Linked DNA regions of Cricetulus griseus. The protein of the gene in region 2 purifies or fractionates together with the protein of the main gene of each other region. This does not show direct contact. Links are inferred from orthologs where the notes say so. Each region holds a gene or a part of one and is shown on either strand. Other genes may lie near its edges.

Region 1 (7,801 bases), on a different chromosome or scaffold from region 2:
GAACACCTCCTGAGAGGACTGGTACCAAGAATGCTGTCTGACAGTCAAGGTCCTGAACGAATTCCATGAGGCCAACACTCTAATTAGAGAAACAGAAGAGAGCTTCAGCTTCCATGTGTATTGTCAAGATTTACCTGAATGGAAAGGAAACTGCTGCTTGGCTTCACCAGTGTGTGCATCCCAAATAATGGTAGTCTGAGATTAAAAGGAAAAGAAAAATTAATTTCTCTGACGTTAAAGAGTATGTGAATGCAAGAATGGATGCCTGACTGCATTAAGGCAGAATGAAACTCGACAGTGAACTTCATCTTCAATGTTTTTATTCCTCACAGCACAAGGGCATCATTCACACTCAGGTAGGTCAGGGGAAATGACCATGACGTAGTTTAACTTTTTTGTGGCAATTTTTCACCAACTTATTTCTAGTAACAACTATTGTTTGTCAACAAAGTGCCTGGCATTATATTAGACTGTGTAACAGGTTCCACTGCAATGGTGTGTTCAATATGCATTTTTACAGCTCTGAAGTTAGAAGGTTGTAGTGAAATCACCTATCCCGGAATACTGAAACATTTCTCCTTTCCTGAAGCTTACATGGACAAAAAAGAAAGAAAAATAGATGTTTCCATTTTTGATACCATTTAAGGCAGGTCCTGAAGCTGCTTATGAGAAAGACAGTACTGGCTCTTCTCCTCCCCAGATACCTTCATCAGTCTGTGAAAACTACTCATCAGAACTATGAATCTAAGCCAGTTTATGTCCCCTTCCCAACACCACCCAAATGATTAATAGCCTGTTCTTTGCTGGAACAAAAAAAGTCTTAAACCTTTTATTATTTAGGGAAGTGTGGTAGAGGGGGCCTAGAGGAGGAGGAGCCAGTTCCAACCAGTCTCTATTTACTTCACAGAGCACAGGAAGACATGGATGGCCCACGGAGTCACTCCAGAGTTACAGCCACCACTGAGATAAACTGGCAAAGCACAAAGTGCTGAATGATAACATTCATTAGGTTCAAATTCCAGCAAAAATGAAGAATGCTTATAAACAAAAGATATGATGAGTAGATTAAGGAAAACAAGCGGACAACAAGAAATTATTTCTATTACTGTCAAAAATCCATACTTGAATGCACTGAAGTTTAAATGATTATCAGAAAAGAAAAAAATTACTTTCAAATATAGTGTTATACAGGTTAGGTAAATAATCATTTACCTTATCTACTCCAGCACTTAGGATGAAATTTCCTTTCTTATTCCATTTTAATGCAAATATAGGGCCTTTATGCTGCCCTAAGGTGCTGGCAAGATTACCTAAACAACAACAACAACAAAAAAAAACTTTAAAATTACTTCAAACTTTATAACATAGAACATCAATAAAGTTAGAAAAATACATACCATCTTTAGTCCATATTCTGGCAAATCCATCATATGACCCAGTTGCTAGAAGTGTACCTTCACTCTGCCAGAGAAATAAATTTTGTTCATTACACAATTAAGGCTACTTAATTACTATGAATATGTCCAGGCACAAAGGAATCTCATCTCTGTGTGAGTGCCACCAAAGGCCGGCAAAACCCCTTTCCCTGATGAAGTCAATGCTCTTGAAAGGCCCACCCCAAATCTGAGCACTGGTCATAACCGCTGTGGAGTAGGACTGACAATAACCCTCTGCAGAATATTTTCATAGACACCCATGAATGAGGATGGAGGTAGGTTGCAGACTAAAAGGACATCAAAACACCACCACGAAAATGGTTTTATAAGAAGTAAAAAGTAAAATTCTGATCAGGACTTAGGAATTTGGAGCCAGGTTGACTGTACAGCCAAATCCTCAAATGCCTTCATTCACAAACCACTAAAGCAAGGGACACTCACATTCCAATCTAGAGAAGTGACATCCTTGTTGCTGGGAACGTCCTGTCCTCCTTCCCGTATGCAATGCCTAAGCACCAGCTGTGTGGGACCATTCGTGCTGTTTTCACTAAGATTCCATATTCTTGCTGTGGAGTCTCCAGACCTTCAAAGTTCAAAAATAGGTTTAAGTCCTCATGACATTCTCCAGCATTCCAAAACTCAGGCCATACATTTAGCATCTGAGTAAGAAGCAGACTACCAGGCATAAACATTCCCAATATTTTTCTTATTCTACATTTTAGAGCTCCTACCAAGAAATTCTAAAGTTACTTCACAGGAAATATCAATTTACTAAGGTAACATGACCAGAAGCAGGCAACAAGCACCTGGAAAGTGAAATACATACAAAATATGCAACAGTCCATTCAGTAAGGTAGCCTTAATTGGCACTGTAGATCTGGGTATGTTGCAGCAGGCCTATTAATCTCAGGACTCAGGAGGGTCAACAGTTCAAAACTAGCCTCCCCTAAACAGTAAATCCTGTCTAAAACCAAACAAAATACCCAACATCCTTTGAAAAACCTACCCTGATGCCAGGAGATCACTAACAGGGTTCCAGGCACAGATGAAAACCTCAGATTCATGGCCCCGTAGCACAACTGCTTTGTTGGGAGGGATTTCAACATCCCCATCTACTTCCATCAAGTCAGTGTGATTATCTGCATCATGAGAAGCAACAATCTCTGTAAGAGGTAATCACAATTCTAGTACTAGTCCTAAGCATGTGAGGGTCTATATACACAGATGTGGATATGGAAGGAGGCAAGGGAGAAAGAGGAGTGAAAAGGGAGTGAACCTCAGCATGGCTGGAATGATAATGTGGCTGAATTAAACCATCTATAACAATATTATTCTGAGTTTCTGCCAGTAGGGGTTGCTGATATCGTTCATATAACATGAGAGTCATCTTTATTCCTCAATGTCATAGCCTTACTTATGTTTAAGAGAGAACATTCCAACTTTTACTTAAAAATCAAAGGCAGATTCGGAATTCTAAGAGAAAAAGGGTTCAAAAACACCTAAAAAGGAATATACAGTGAATTTAGCTTTTTGGAACCTTAAGTATAAACTCTGAGCTGTGTGACCTAAGTTGGGCATAGAGGTATCATTTCAGTTCTAAGGATGGGACAGTCTATGTAAGGCCAAGTGTTTTCTGAGACTCTCTAAACATTCTTAGCTCACTTGTGATGGTATGTGCTCCATTCTCCTCCCCATTTGCTGTATTCTCTCCATTTTTTGCAGATCCTTGCTGGTTAGTGGCTGCGGCGGCAGCTGCAGCGGCGGCTGCATGTTGCTGTGCAAGCTTGTCTCTGTAGGCTTGTTGTCTTGTTTGGACTACATCGGGCATAACAGCATCGATCAGCGACAGAGACTCAATGGGCCGACCATCAAATAAGGTGCCATCCTGAGATTGGAAAACCCGGAAAGAAAAATGAGATGTAGCCTTGAGGGTGACATGCATTCCACTAACAGAATGAAGAGCTTCACTTTGAGGAAAACCTGGTAATTTTCTGAATTTGAGCAGGAAGGAGAGAAGAGAATAAGAATGACCCTGAATGAGGCAGATGCAAATGGCCCTCTACTCTTCACTTACATCCTGCTAAACTCTACAAAGACAAATGCAATACAAGAGGCCACTCATAAAAGCTCTTAAACAGATAATAAAATGGAAATATGTCAAATTCAGGTAATGAAGGCTGTCAGTAAAAAACATCAACCAATAAGAGTAGCTCATACAACAAAGAGGCAGTGTCTCATCAGTACTCTGAATCCAGGCCTTGGAAAAAAAATAAATGCACCTGTACTGAACTGGGGCAGATCTTTTTCTTGTAGATTTTCCTTAAACATAACAGGGTAACAAGCACATCATATATGTGATCTAGATGTGTACCATTTGGTGTAAATCAAGAGCACTGTAGATGGTGCTCACTGTGGCAATGAGGGACCCATCCTTGAGGATACCAACAGGAGAATGGACACTTTAAACAGCTAAAATCCTTCCACTTATGTTTTTGGGGGGAAGGGCAGGGGAGGAGTGTGTTCACTTTTCAAGTAAAGAATAAAGGGAACACCTCAACGTGTTCTGAGTCCTGGAAATACATTAAACTTTCTAGCTAGAGCAAAGTTCTGCAGACTTCTAGGAAAGAGCAGGCAGTGTGTGCATTTAAGATCCGTGTCACAGCACCTCATGTTCCCAGTATCCACCCAGACAGTCCAAATGTGAATGAGTCTGCCTGAGTTACAAAGCTGATCTACAGAATCAGGCCCCAGAAGCATGCCAACACCTGAAACAAACCCCCTACTTACACATGAACCTCACACATGCAGCTCTGAGCATCAAGAGTGGGCATCCATTATAAATACCTGGATTCAATAATCAGGGTACATGACACTAAACAATGGATTTCCCAATGCTTGCCATCAAGTTGTTGCCGTACAATAAAGCAAAATTCATTATTTGTTAAAAATTATTTCCTTGTGCTTACTTAAAGCACAAACACACACACACACACACACACACACACACACACACACACACACACACACACAGCTTCCCCACCCCCTCCACCCCCTCCCTTAAGGAATAATCTAGACTCAGGCCACTGGAGCGAAGCCCACATGCATAGCTAGTACAACCTGACTGGTACATTAAGAATGATGACCTTATTTTGTCTGAATACAGTGAAATCGAGTCAGATACTGAATAAACAAATGCATTTAAGAATCAGAATCAGTGTCTGAAATGAAACTCGTCTGCCTTACCTCATTTATGCTAACTTCTGCCTCTACATACTGTAGGCCTTTCTGGATGATGGAGATCAATGCAGCAGGTGGGACAAGGGCGCCATTTATATTGGACTGACTTATATGGCTCTCTATACCAAAGGTAAACGCGGAATGAGAAAATCCTAAAAGCAAAAGAAAAGACCTGAGAATTTACTTTCTTAGTAATTTCACATTAAATTACAAATGGGAAAAAAAAACTTTATAATCTTTCATAATCACACGCCATCACTTGAAATTGTAAATGGACAGCTAAAGTAAAATATGAGTTTAAACCAATGATCAATGCAGTGCTAGTAACTTTCTGGCATCTACTAGGTTAGTTGGCTCCAGTTTTTCTTTTGTACTTTTTCTCTTTTTTTAATTTAAAAAGTTATTTTTCATTTTACATACCAACCTCAGTTCCCCCTCCTTCCCCTCTCCCCACCTCCTTCCTTCCCAACCCCCACTTGTCAGAGGGGGTAAGGCCTTCCTTGGGGAGTCAACAAAGTCTGGATTACCAAGTAGAGGTAGGGCCAAGCCCCTCACCCCTGTATCAGGATGGAGCAAGGCATCCCACCATAGCGAATGGCTCTAGTATTTCTAACAGTAACACAGCTTTCCTGAAGAAAATGCATCAAATGTAAAAACTGAAAAGCCTTGAGAAACAATGGACCTAAACTGCCTCATGAGACAAACAGAAATCAAGATTTATATGGCAGGTCTTATTTCTGTGGTATATTTGAAATTTTAGAGACAAACTGTCAAGCACCTTCATTGTTTTGTAGCTTAAAAAAATTAGCGAATAAAATGCAAGCTATAATTAAAAAAAAAGGCAAAATGATAACAGACTTGGGCTGGAGATGTGGCTCAGTGCTTGCCTAGTTATGCATGAAGTCCTGGGCTCCAAGCCAGCACTGAGAAAACTGTGGACAATGGTGCACACCAGTACTGCTAACATGCAGGAGATGCAGGCAGGGAGATCAGAGTTCAAGGTTATCTTTTGCTAACCTGTACTGTGTGAGACTGTCTCCAAAAGAAATAAAAAGCCAAATTATAACACTTGAACTTTTTATATAAAATTATTTTATATCCATTGTTTTAAAAAATACTCATAATTTAGGAATAACTCATCTAAACAAGCACTTAAGAAAAGAACTATAAAATGAAAGTCCAGTTTCTAGGTAGGTCTCCTTTGACAAATTAGTCCCAAAACTCAGGAAGCAGAGGCACATTACACAACATTTTCCAGGATAGCCAGGGGATGGCTACAAGGAAAGGCCATCTCAAAAAGTTAAATAATTTAAAAAAATACTTCAAAGCATGAAACTCACATAGCCAGTCTCTTTATATTAACTTCATATTATAGTGAAAGTCTAGTCCAGATAACAAAGAGAAGTTCCAGTAACAGACAGGATGGCTGCTCTCTGTGAAATCCCATCACAGTTTACTAAGTTTAAAGCCTGTACACATCCAAACAGCATGTGGCTGGGAAAGGCTCGTGGGTGGACAGAGTACACCTGGCTGGGTTCTCCTCGAAGCTTGTACTTCTGCTAGCCATGCCTTCCTTAATGGCCCACGGTGGGAGGGGGAGACAGTCATTTTTCTAAGACTTTAGTTTTAACTTCATGACTTCCCCCACAGACTAGTTTGTGTTTAGGCACATTAAAGGTTTTGTGTTTTATCTGAAGTCACAAAGATGGCAGAAACAAATGTGGCTGTGAGACAGGGGAGAAAGACACCTTTCTGAAGTATCCTTCAGGAATCCCAAGTTCCAGAATCTGGGGAGGTCTAGCTTCCAGATCACCAGCACAGAAAGGCAAGCCTAATTCTTGGAAGTATTAAGAGAGAGGACTGGAGACGAGGCAATGAAGTTGGAGGTTGGGGATTTCTATGTAAATAACATGACAGTCCCCAAATAAGTTCTTCAACAAATCAAAAATGGGGTGGGGGCAACCACTTAGAAGACTTTGAAACAGAAGATGCCATTATGGAAAACACACCAGCTCTTTATTGCATTATATTATGAATTAAGGCTGGGGACAGTCACAGGACGCAATAGGGACTCAAATCCATCCTGCTTCCTGATTCTCTTGAAAAGTCAAAATACTACACTTGAGAACAGCAGTCATCATTGCTCAGTTGTTCCTTAGGGACTGAGAAAGAGGAACAGGCACATTATAAAACACTAGGGCACCTCACCAGGATTGGGAAGGAGTTTATATTTACAATCATAAGCTGAGTAAAACCTGTTTTCTCTACATTCTCCTTGAATACATTTCTCAGAACTACCAGATTCCAGATCCTATCACGCATCCGTACTGGCCTGCCCTTGGGGTTTTTGTTTTTTGTTTTGGTTTGGTTTTTGGAGACAGGGTTTCTCTGTGGCTTTGGTGGTTGTCCTGGAACTAGCTATTGTAGATCAGGCTGGTCTCAAACTCACAGAGATCTGCCTGCCTCTGCCTCCCGAGTGTTGGGAGTGTGTGCCACCACTGCCCAGCTTGTCCTTGGGGTTTTGACAGGATATGTCCTCAACTCCAGCCACTAAGAGCACTATCTGTGCATAGTCACTATCCTCCCCACCTCCCATCCTTCTATCTTTCTTACTCTCCCTCTCTCTCTCTATTACCCTTCCACCCCACACCTCTCTTTCCTCTCTTCTGATGCTCCAAATCCTTCTGTCCACAGAGACCAATCCCACACCCTTCCTCTTTCCTTTTTTACAATCCTTTTCCTTAATAGAAAACCCCCCTCCACTTGAAATCTGTCACATGGCATCTTTCTCTCCCCAGCTGTTTCTTTTAAAATTACAACACTATCCAGCTTTCTTCCAGTTTAAGCTTAATGATCTGCCCATGAATGCAACTGCTTGCAGTAGCAGGCAGAACTGCGCTTTAAACAGGAAAGCTGAGTATGGCTTGCACTTTCCCCAGACCTGGAAAGAGGCTCGTGAGCATCTCAAGTCACTGCAAATGTGCTGAGTTATCTCAAGCAGTAAGGGGACAACCTTGAGCAACTTAAAATCATCAGCATCACTTGACAACTGCTATTGGTGATACTCCTGGCCATCATGATGAAGACCTATATAGTACAGATGAAGCTATTTCTGGAACTTAGTCCTA
Region 2 (8,582 bases):
TGTATTACAGTAGTGGCCTCCTGCAGATAAATGAGAGCCCAGTAGGTAAGAAAGAGGCCCAGCTGGCAAGATGTGAAATGTTTATAATTAGAAACTCTAATTATGACTCCAGTGTTTAGAGAGATGATGCACAGACTCAGAACGACGGGATTACATTTTAGCACTTGCACTTGTATTAAATATGACTGAGGGATGGATGCTGTTCTAAAAGGGCTTCATTACAGTACTCAGGTGCAGCCCTTAGTTTGTGGGGTTAATGAAACAGATTAAAAAGGAAACGTCCTAGGGGAAAACAGCTCTGTGTATAAAGAAGCTATTTGAGCCAGGGATGTAGCTTTGAGGTCCAGGATGTGCTTAGATTTATAAAGCCTTGAGTTTGATCTCAGAGAGAGAGAGAGAGAGAGAGAGAGAGAGAGAGAGAGAGAGAGAGAGAGAATGATATTGACTGATGGGGGATCTTCCTTCCCCTGAAAGTTCTTTATGCATAGTAGAAATTGCCAGAGCGATATACATGTCTACATATATTTCTACATTTATCGTGGGCCTTTCATTTTCTGTTCTTTCTTCCTCCAACATTCTTCCTGATATTTAGGGTATTTTAAAAAATTCTGTTTCCCTTGGGCAGGGACTGTTCACAGCTTCCCTCTTCCTTTTCCTTAAGGAAATGAGTACCTTCCTTGGCACTTGTCTTAGTCATGGTGTCTATTGCTGTGACAGATCAGCATGAGCAAGAGTGACCTGGGGAGGAAAGGGTTTATTTTTCTGACTCTTCCACATCACAGTGCACCACTGAATGCAGTCCGTGTGCTCAAACAGGACGGAACCTGGAGGTAGAAGCTGATTCAGAGGCTACAAAAATGTTGCTTACTGGCTGGCTCCCTCATGGCTTGCTCAGTCTTTCTTATAGAAAGAACTCCAGCCCAGGCATGGTGCCACCCACAATGGATGGCTTCTTCTACACCAATCACTAATTATAAAAAAGAAAACAAAATATCCCAAAGCAGTGGTTCTCAACCCCTTGGGGCTGGGGGGGGGGTCAAACAACCCTTTCACAGGAGTTGCCCAAGACCATCGGAAAACACATTACAATTCATAAAAGCAGCAAAATTATAGTTATGACGTAGCAACGATAATAATTTTCTGGTTGGGGGTCACCACAACATGAGGAACTGTATTAAAGGGTTACACAGCATTAGGAACGTTGAGAACCACTGCCCAAAAAAGGCTTTCTTGCCTACAGCTTGATCTTATGGAGGCATTTTCTCAGTTGAGAGTCATTCTTCCCAAATGGCCCTAGCTTGTTTCAAGCTGACTTTAAAAGAAGGCAGGACAGCACTGTTCATTGGTCTTACCCCCACCCTCTTCCCTCTGAGACAGGACCTCATGTATCCCAGGCTAGCTTGGAATCCACTTGAGCTTCTGACCTTTCCACTTCTACCTCCTGAGTGCTGGTGTTACAGACATAGACGATGCCTGGTTTATCTGTACTGGCGATGGAACCTAGGGTTTCATGTGCACTAGGCCAGCATTCCTCACTACTCAGCTTGTTTAAATTATGTTTGCACTGTTTTATTGCTGTACTTAAACTCAATTCACAGAATTTTGTCTATGTAGCTTTTCCATTAGTCTGAGGTTAGTGACTGAACCTTATATACTGTCTGCCTCCCTTCCTATTAGTTTCTTAAGTAGATAGACAGATATAAACATCCAGTCTTGATAAACACATGTGATGATTCTTCTCTTGTCATCAAGGGGCATTTCTGTGGGGACTGGGATCCAGGGAGCAGCTACATGTCCAAATTGGGAAAGGAGGCATCTCACAGCCCCGCTGACTGGGCGGCACCTCTGGCAAGCTGCACTCTGAGCGGGCTCTGGCAAAGAGACTGTAGGGAGAATTTCCATGCACACAAAACTGCAGCATCCTCACTTGGTCCCCAGCCTCCCGGCATCTCATAAGCCTGCAGCAAGGGCAAACTGGTAGAAGGGCAGGTGCAGACAGGTGTCACCAGACAGCAGCTCACAAAAGTGACAACTCCGGAGCTACCACCCATGCTGTGTGAGGAACTACTGCTGACTTCACCAAAATGTCCTCACCCAGGACACCAAGGATAAGGAGACCTGGCCGTGACCGAACAAAGCAAACCAGAATGACAGCACCGGCTGAAAACTTTGGCATGAGTCAAACGCTATGCATGACATCAGCTGCAGGAGATTCACGGTGGTTATTCTAGACTTACTCACGGCCACACTCTCATTTGTTAACAAAAATGTATGCTTCTATGAACAGGGAACTGGCAAACGTTCACATCAGTGGATTTATGAGAAAGGAACTTTTTCTAAAACAAGATCTTAAACTCACAGACGAGGCTCCATGTGAGACCATGGCATCTGCTGCAATTCCTGATACTGTCAGGACAGCAAGGTTCTCTCCTTCACCAAAATGTAGCACTCATTCACAGTCAGAATGACTCACCAGTACAATAGATTAAGACAAGGTACCTAGTCCCTCAGTTTCTCCTCCCCCCCCATCCAGACAGGTCTCATGTATTCCAGGCTGGCCCAGAACTCACTGTATAGCCCAGGATGACCTTGAACTTCTGATCCTCTTGTCTCTAGGACTGGGACTATAGGCATGCACCACCATGCTGGCTTTCTGAAGCCAGGTATCAAACGTAGGGTTCTGAACCTGCTAGACAAGCATCCTATCAACTAAGCTCCTTTGCAACCCACTGCTCTCACAGCTGAAAGAGATAATAACAGCTTCCTCCTCCTCAAGGGTTATAGAAGTTTCAAATTACAAGGTATATGAAAAGTGTTCTTTTAAATTACAGACTATTACTCCAATTAAATATGGTGTCGACTTGCTTTGTGAGTCCTGGGACACTGGGACATCCTGACAGGAACCTTAAGCAGTAAGAAACCAAAGCAGCGGACAGTGCATTTCCTTGGCCCTGGCGACAACATCATTTCCTGCCTGGGTGGACTGGAAAGAACTACTCCCTATGGGACCATTTGGGAAGTGTACGGACAGCCGACCTCCCAGTCCTACCTATCATTCATTCCTCCTCTGCCAATCCCCGAGACCCAGCTGCTTTATCACCCACAGCTTCTAGAAGCTACTCAATACTTGGCACGTACTGGGTGCTCAATATTTACTCAATTAAATGCTAAATTGATTTTTCTTTTAGTAAAAGCACGTTCTTATGCCAACTGGACAGTTTGAAAAATGATATATTCAACACTAAGACACATGGTGTTTGATCTGAGCAGCCCCTCTTCCTGTGTTCAAACGTGGAGTCCACAGCTCTTGGCTGCAACTTGAGGCATGTCGTTTATATCTGAGCTTCAATTTCTCATCTGTAGAATACAGATAATGGTAACTCCCACAGAGGCATGAGGCCTAGCATGCAGATAGATGCTAACATGTATTATTTATAAACTAGGATAAACATTAAAAAGTAATAAGTAAGCCATCTAGCCACGAAGGGCGCAGAATCCCATAGAACTGGTCGCAAAAATCAAGAAAGGACAGGGTTACCTCTTTAGAGGAGCTGTAGTAGAAAATATTTTTTTTAATGTCAGATAGTGTAGTTAATATTATAAACTAATAGAAACGAACGACAATCCACTAACAGCTTGTAAAACAGGGCTGAACATTTTAAAGCATTTTAGGCAATCCCAGAGGTCAGTTCAGCCTCCAGGATATAAAGCCTTTGATGTGGTTTCAGTTTCAGAAGAAAAAGTGACTTCCACTGTCAATAGAATCCACACAACTGACTGGAAAATGCATACTATCTACAAACCAGGGTTTTACAGCACCAAATCCACAGCCTTGCTAATATTTGTATACAAGGAAGCTAGTATCGGGAAATCACACAAGCTTCATCTTTCCTCTATCATCCATATTTAAAAATTTTGTTTTGTTTTATTTTGTTTTTTTTTAAGACAGGGTTTCTCAGTAACTATGAAGCCAGTCCTGGAACTCACTGTGTAGACCAGGCTGGCCTCAAATTCACAGATATCCACCTGCTTCTACCTCCCGAGTGCTGGGATTAGAGGTGTGTGCCACCACTGCCCAGCTAAAAGTCTAAATTTTTAATAGTGCAGTGCCCTGTGTCAAAGTGGCTTCTAAAAAGGAGCCCCATGCCTTGAGCCATTAAACACACATTAAACTCTCCCTCTCAGCAAATAGTTAAAGTATCAATTAATCACATATGTGCAACAGTCAGAATTCCTTTTACATTAACCAAACATTAGACTGCAACACCAAACCCAAGGCTTTCAGGAACCCCCTCCACCCCCCTACCCAGCACTAGGGAGGCATTAATTCAGGTTTCAGGACAGTGACTCAGCTAAAGAAGAGTAACAACTTCCTAAACCCTTTCAAGGAGAAAAAAATCTGAGCAGTTGAGAATATACTGTCCAAGTTCAGTGCCTACTTTGTAGAGGGAAGCATTCCCTCTCCTCAGAAGGGCTTGAAAGCTGAGGTCCCTTTGTCTCACTCCGGGCTGGGGACTGTATGGTTAAGGCTTCTCTTGTGGCTACTCAGGAAATTGTGAAAAAAATTTCTCACCGTCTGGATCTCTGCTCCTAATAGTAATAATAACAAATGCCTCATTTGTAACAATGCTGCTTGTGGTAGTTTTCTGTGCAAACATCCTCCCGTTTGTTTGTTTGGTGGACGAATGGAAGGAGATTAGGCACACAAGACTCTTATGATTTTGCTCATATTCTTTTGCTTATGCAGAACCTGGAGAAAACTAGGGAACAAAATGTTCGCAGTTCCAGAAGACCCAGGGTGCCTTGATAAGATTTTCATGGAACAACACCTGCACACAATCAAGACTTGCACAACTTCGGAGACATTAACCAGATAGGTAAGATCTCAAATTGCTGTAGGCAACAAAGTATTTACAGCATTTGCTAGTATTTACTATTTAGAAATTTTACTACAACACCGATCCTGCGATAGAATCTCAGGCAGAGTGTGACTCGTACCTTTTCAGGCCTGTGGCTGGCACTTCCTAGGTGTCATCAGTATCTTCTAAATGCACAACAGATACAGACCGAATGCGGAGGGCATTGCACGTGGTTAAGAAAATGAAAGAACGCATCCAACTTTGCCACCCACAACGGCCACTCGTGGGTCTAATTCTCGCTGGTCGCGGGAGGTGCAGTCTGGAATTTTCCTTACTCTTGTGTTACTATGAAGTGGTTTGGGGCAAAGAAACTTACTACAATGGGAAGGTGGGAGGGAGAGACCCCACTAAGCTGCTGCCTCCCTCCAAAGAGCATTACTGGAAACGTGGAAGTTAGAGGCAGCGGGGACCACACACAAGGTTCTGGAAGTTGGGCAGGCCGCGCGCGCTCGCCCGGGGAGTGGAGCCCACCCGAGGCGCCCCCGCCTGCACGCTCACCCGCCCGCCCGCCCTCACCTGAGCTCCAGCTGGTCCAGGCTCTCCAGCAGGCGACTGGAGCGGTCTGCCATGGACGAGGAGCGACAGAAGCGACCCTCGTGGGCCTTGGCGCTGATCTTCGCCTGGGCCATGAGCTCCGGGGGTCCGGGGCGTCCGCGGGCAGCAGTGGCGCGGGCCGCACGTCGCCGTCACCGCGGGCGCCGCTGACGCGGACGGCACCGCCCCCGAGGCCGCGCGGCCAAACAAGGGCAGGCGCGGGCGCAGCCGCCAGCACTCGGGTGGGGGACCCTGTCCCGGTGCCCGTCGCCAGCCTCCCACCGGGCTGCCGGCTCGCCGATGGCTTCTGATGTTTGTCCCAACACCCACAATTCACAGCAGGGACAAAATCGTGCGGCCCGTGACGTGGGAGAAAAGATCCCCTGGTGTAGCGTTAAGACAATTGAGTGCGCCTTAGGGGCAGTCTCTACTTGCCCGACCTGCCGGGTTACCAGGCAGGCTCCTAAGAGGACAGGGAGAGCCTGGGCAACACTGTGCTCCAAATAAGGAAAAGCCAAGTGCATTTATACTGTCTCGCCTTTCTAATGAAAGGTTATTACTTTCACACCCAACTTATTGAAATCCTCCGTGAATAATATTCAATAGGCTCCTGCAGAGGTCACTAAGAGGTGGAGTAGGGTTGAAATACAAAGCCATGTCTGGTTAGAGTTGTGTTTTGTCCTCTCGGTGCACAGAAAATGAGAAACTTGGATTTACAACCTTGAATCAGAACTCAAAGCCATTTGATGACTTAACAGAGTCAAGTCCCTTAAGCACAGCTGGCTTCCAGGTCCTCCACCACCATCACCACCCGCCCCATCCCCAACTCATTTTACATAATAAGGAACAGTAGGTTATCTGGCTTCATTAAACATTGTCATTTCATGACACAAATGTGAAATTTGAACGTTTTGTGAATGTCTTGAAAAATCGAAGCTTGCGCTCATCTCAGGTCTAATGCCAGCTCATCTGGATGTTGATAAAGGATTGTGTCTCTCGGGCCAGAGTGAGTTCAAAGGCCAGGCGGGGTTGCTTTGCCAAGAGCTAAAAATCTCAAAAAGTATAAGGGGCTGTAGACGTAGCTCGGTGGTATAGCATCTGCCTTTGTCCTAGGTTAGCAACTAAACAAGGCAGATGTCATGGATTCAGTGTCTTATGCTCTCTGGCATCTGGTCCTCAGTTGGCTGTTTGGGAACGATTATGTGTGGTCTTGCTGGAGGAAGTATGTCACTCTGGGCATGTTGCAGAAGACTAGCCATTCCCAGTGTGTCTCTGCCTCCTCCTTGGGTTCCAGATGAGTGCTCAGAACCTGTCCTTGATGCCATCGTGACTCTGACCCTCTGTAGCTGAGCCCAATTAAATGATGTTTTGCTTTGTTTTTTGAGACAGGGTTTTTCTGTAGCTTTGGAACCTGTCCTGGAACTCCCTCTGTAGACCAGGCTGGTCTGGAACTCACAGAGATCTGCCTGCCTCTGCCTCCTGAGTACTGGGATCAAAGGCAAGTGCCACCACCGCGGGGCTTAAATGATTTATAAGTTGCCTTGGTCATGGTGTTTTATCCCAGCAAAAGGAACTAATATAGCAGATATCTTCAAAGTAACCATTTTATTTTAATTTTGTGTCACCAGTTGGGCACACACAGAGGCATTTTCAGACTACATGTGTGTTCCTGTCTAAAGATGTGTGAACTCTTTAGAGAGAGTGTGCTTCTGAATGGCCAGGCTCCTCCCATATGACTATAGACTCTCTGAACGAAATCCCCAGTGCTTGTGGAGTTTGTGGAGAGCTTTGCTTTGGTAATGGCTCCCATGCTCTTCCTTCCTACCCAGTACAGGTTGCAAACCTTTGTAGTTTTCATCTTGGCTGTGCTTATTTTGGTTTCACAACCAACAGAACATTTTGTTACAGGTTTGGTAATTTTCAGGGTTCTAGACTAGAATCACTCTGGACTTTCACTCATATCCTGGACCCAACCCATTAGTAAGTCCCAATTCTACTTTCAGAATATATCTTGACTCTTCCAATCCCACCATCACCTGGCCAGTCTTCCCTGGGTGACTGCAAAGCCCCATCCGCTCCCTCGGCATCTATCTTGCCTCTCTTGGGAATTTTTTTTTTTTGGTTTTTCGAAACAGGGTTTCTCTGTGGCTTTGGAGACTGTCCTGGAACTAGCTCTTATAGACCAGGCTGGTCTCGAACTCACAGGGATCCACCTGCCTCTGCCTCCCGAGTGCTGGGATTAAAGGCGTGCACCACCAACGCCCGGACATCTCTTGGGAATTCTTAATACAGTATTTAAGCACAGTAGATTGTACCAAACCCTCAGGAACCTCCTGTGGCTCACCACAGAGCAAACAAAAGAAGCACCATTTCTCTTAAGTGTGTGTCACTTTTGCAAAATCCTAAATCAAACCACAAGTCAGGGGCCACCTTGTACATTTTTTTGCATGGCTGATTCCTTTGCCTTCTTTGAATCTTGGCTTAAGTTCACTTACCAGTGAAATTTTTCCTGACCACTGTTAAAAATATCAAGCCTGAGCTGAGCGGAGTGGGCGCACATCTGTAATCCCATCAAGCATAAGGCTGACCAGGAGGACCTGGATTGGAGACTAACCTAGGCTACACAGCAAGATGCTGGCTCAAAAAAAGAAGTAATTCTAGGGTTGGGGAGAGCTAAGTGGTAGAGAGTGTTTGCCTAGCATGGATGCTGCCCCAGATTTGATGATCCCCAGTGCTGCAACCCACCCTGAATCCGGCATCATTCTCACTGCTTCTATACTTACTACATTATCCCCAATAGGTACAGTTTTACCTATCTGCTTGTTACCCAATACTCTCTCCATATAGCCCACTCTCCATGTCTGAGCAGTAGAGGGACCGGAGCTCTTAGGATCACTGTCCCATCTCATGTACTTTGAGCAGCTGCTGTCACTTGGTAGATCCACAATACTTTGTGAACAAGTGAATTAACAATGAAATGAAAAAAAAAAAAAAAACCCTGTTATCAATATTAGAAATATACTTGAGATAATAATCTACAACTTTATTATTAATGATTCCTGTCTAAATTCAAATTATGAAGCAGTTTTATAATGTTTTAAAATCATTTAGTGAGTAATGATGTTAACA

Evidence for each region. Proteins that work in one complex are often made in the same cells at the same time.
Region 1: the proteins of Bag2 (region 2) and Tbl1xr1 purify together in Homo sapiens (affinity purification with mass spectrometry; 3 studies listed by BioGRID and IntAct, with this or other methods). This does not show direct contact. The link is inferred for Cricetulus griseus from reciprocal best matches to the Homo sapiens genes BAG2 and TBL1XR1.

Annotation. Positions count from the first base shown.
Region 1 is NW_023276806.1:126,265,284-126,273,084, forward strand, and holds part of Tbl1xr1 (F-box-like/WD repeat-containing protein TBL1XR1), read right to left. Parts: intron 4,826-7,801; coding exon 4,680-4,825; intron 3,322-4,679; coding exon 3,099-3,321; intron 2,600-3,098; coding exon 2,443-2,599; intron 2,020-2,442; coding exon 1,878-2,019; intron 1,462-1,877; coding exon 1,398-1,461; intron 1,311-1,397; coding exon 1,213-1,310; intron 196-1,212; coding exon 135-195; intron 1-134. UniProt on the Homo sapiens protein: F-box-like protein involved in the recruitment of the ubiquitin/19S proteasome complex to nuclear receptor-regulated transcription units. Plays an essential role in transcription activation mediated by nuclear receptors.
Region 2 is NW_023276807.1:14,225,599-14,234,180, reverse strand, and holds the start of Bag2 (BAG family molecular chaperone regulator 2), read right to left. Parts: upstream 5,620-8,582; 5' UTR 5,549-5,619; coding exon 5,436-5,548; intron 1-5,435. UniProt on the Homo sapiens protein: Co-chaperone for HSP70 and HSC70 chaperone proteins. Acts as a nucleotide-exchange factor (NEF) promoting the release of ADP from the HSP70 and HSC70 proteins thereby triggering client/substrate protein release.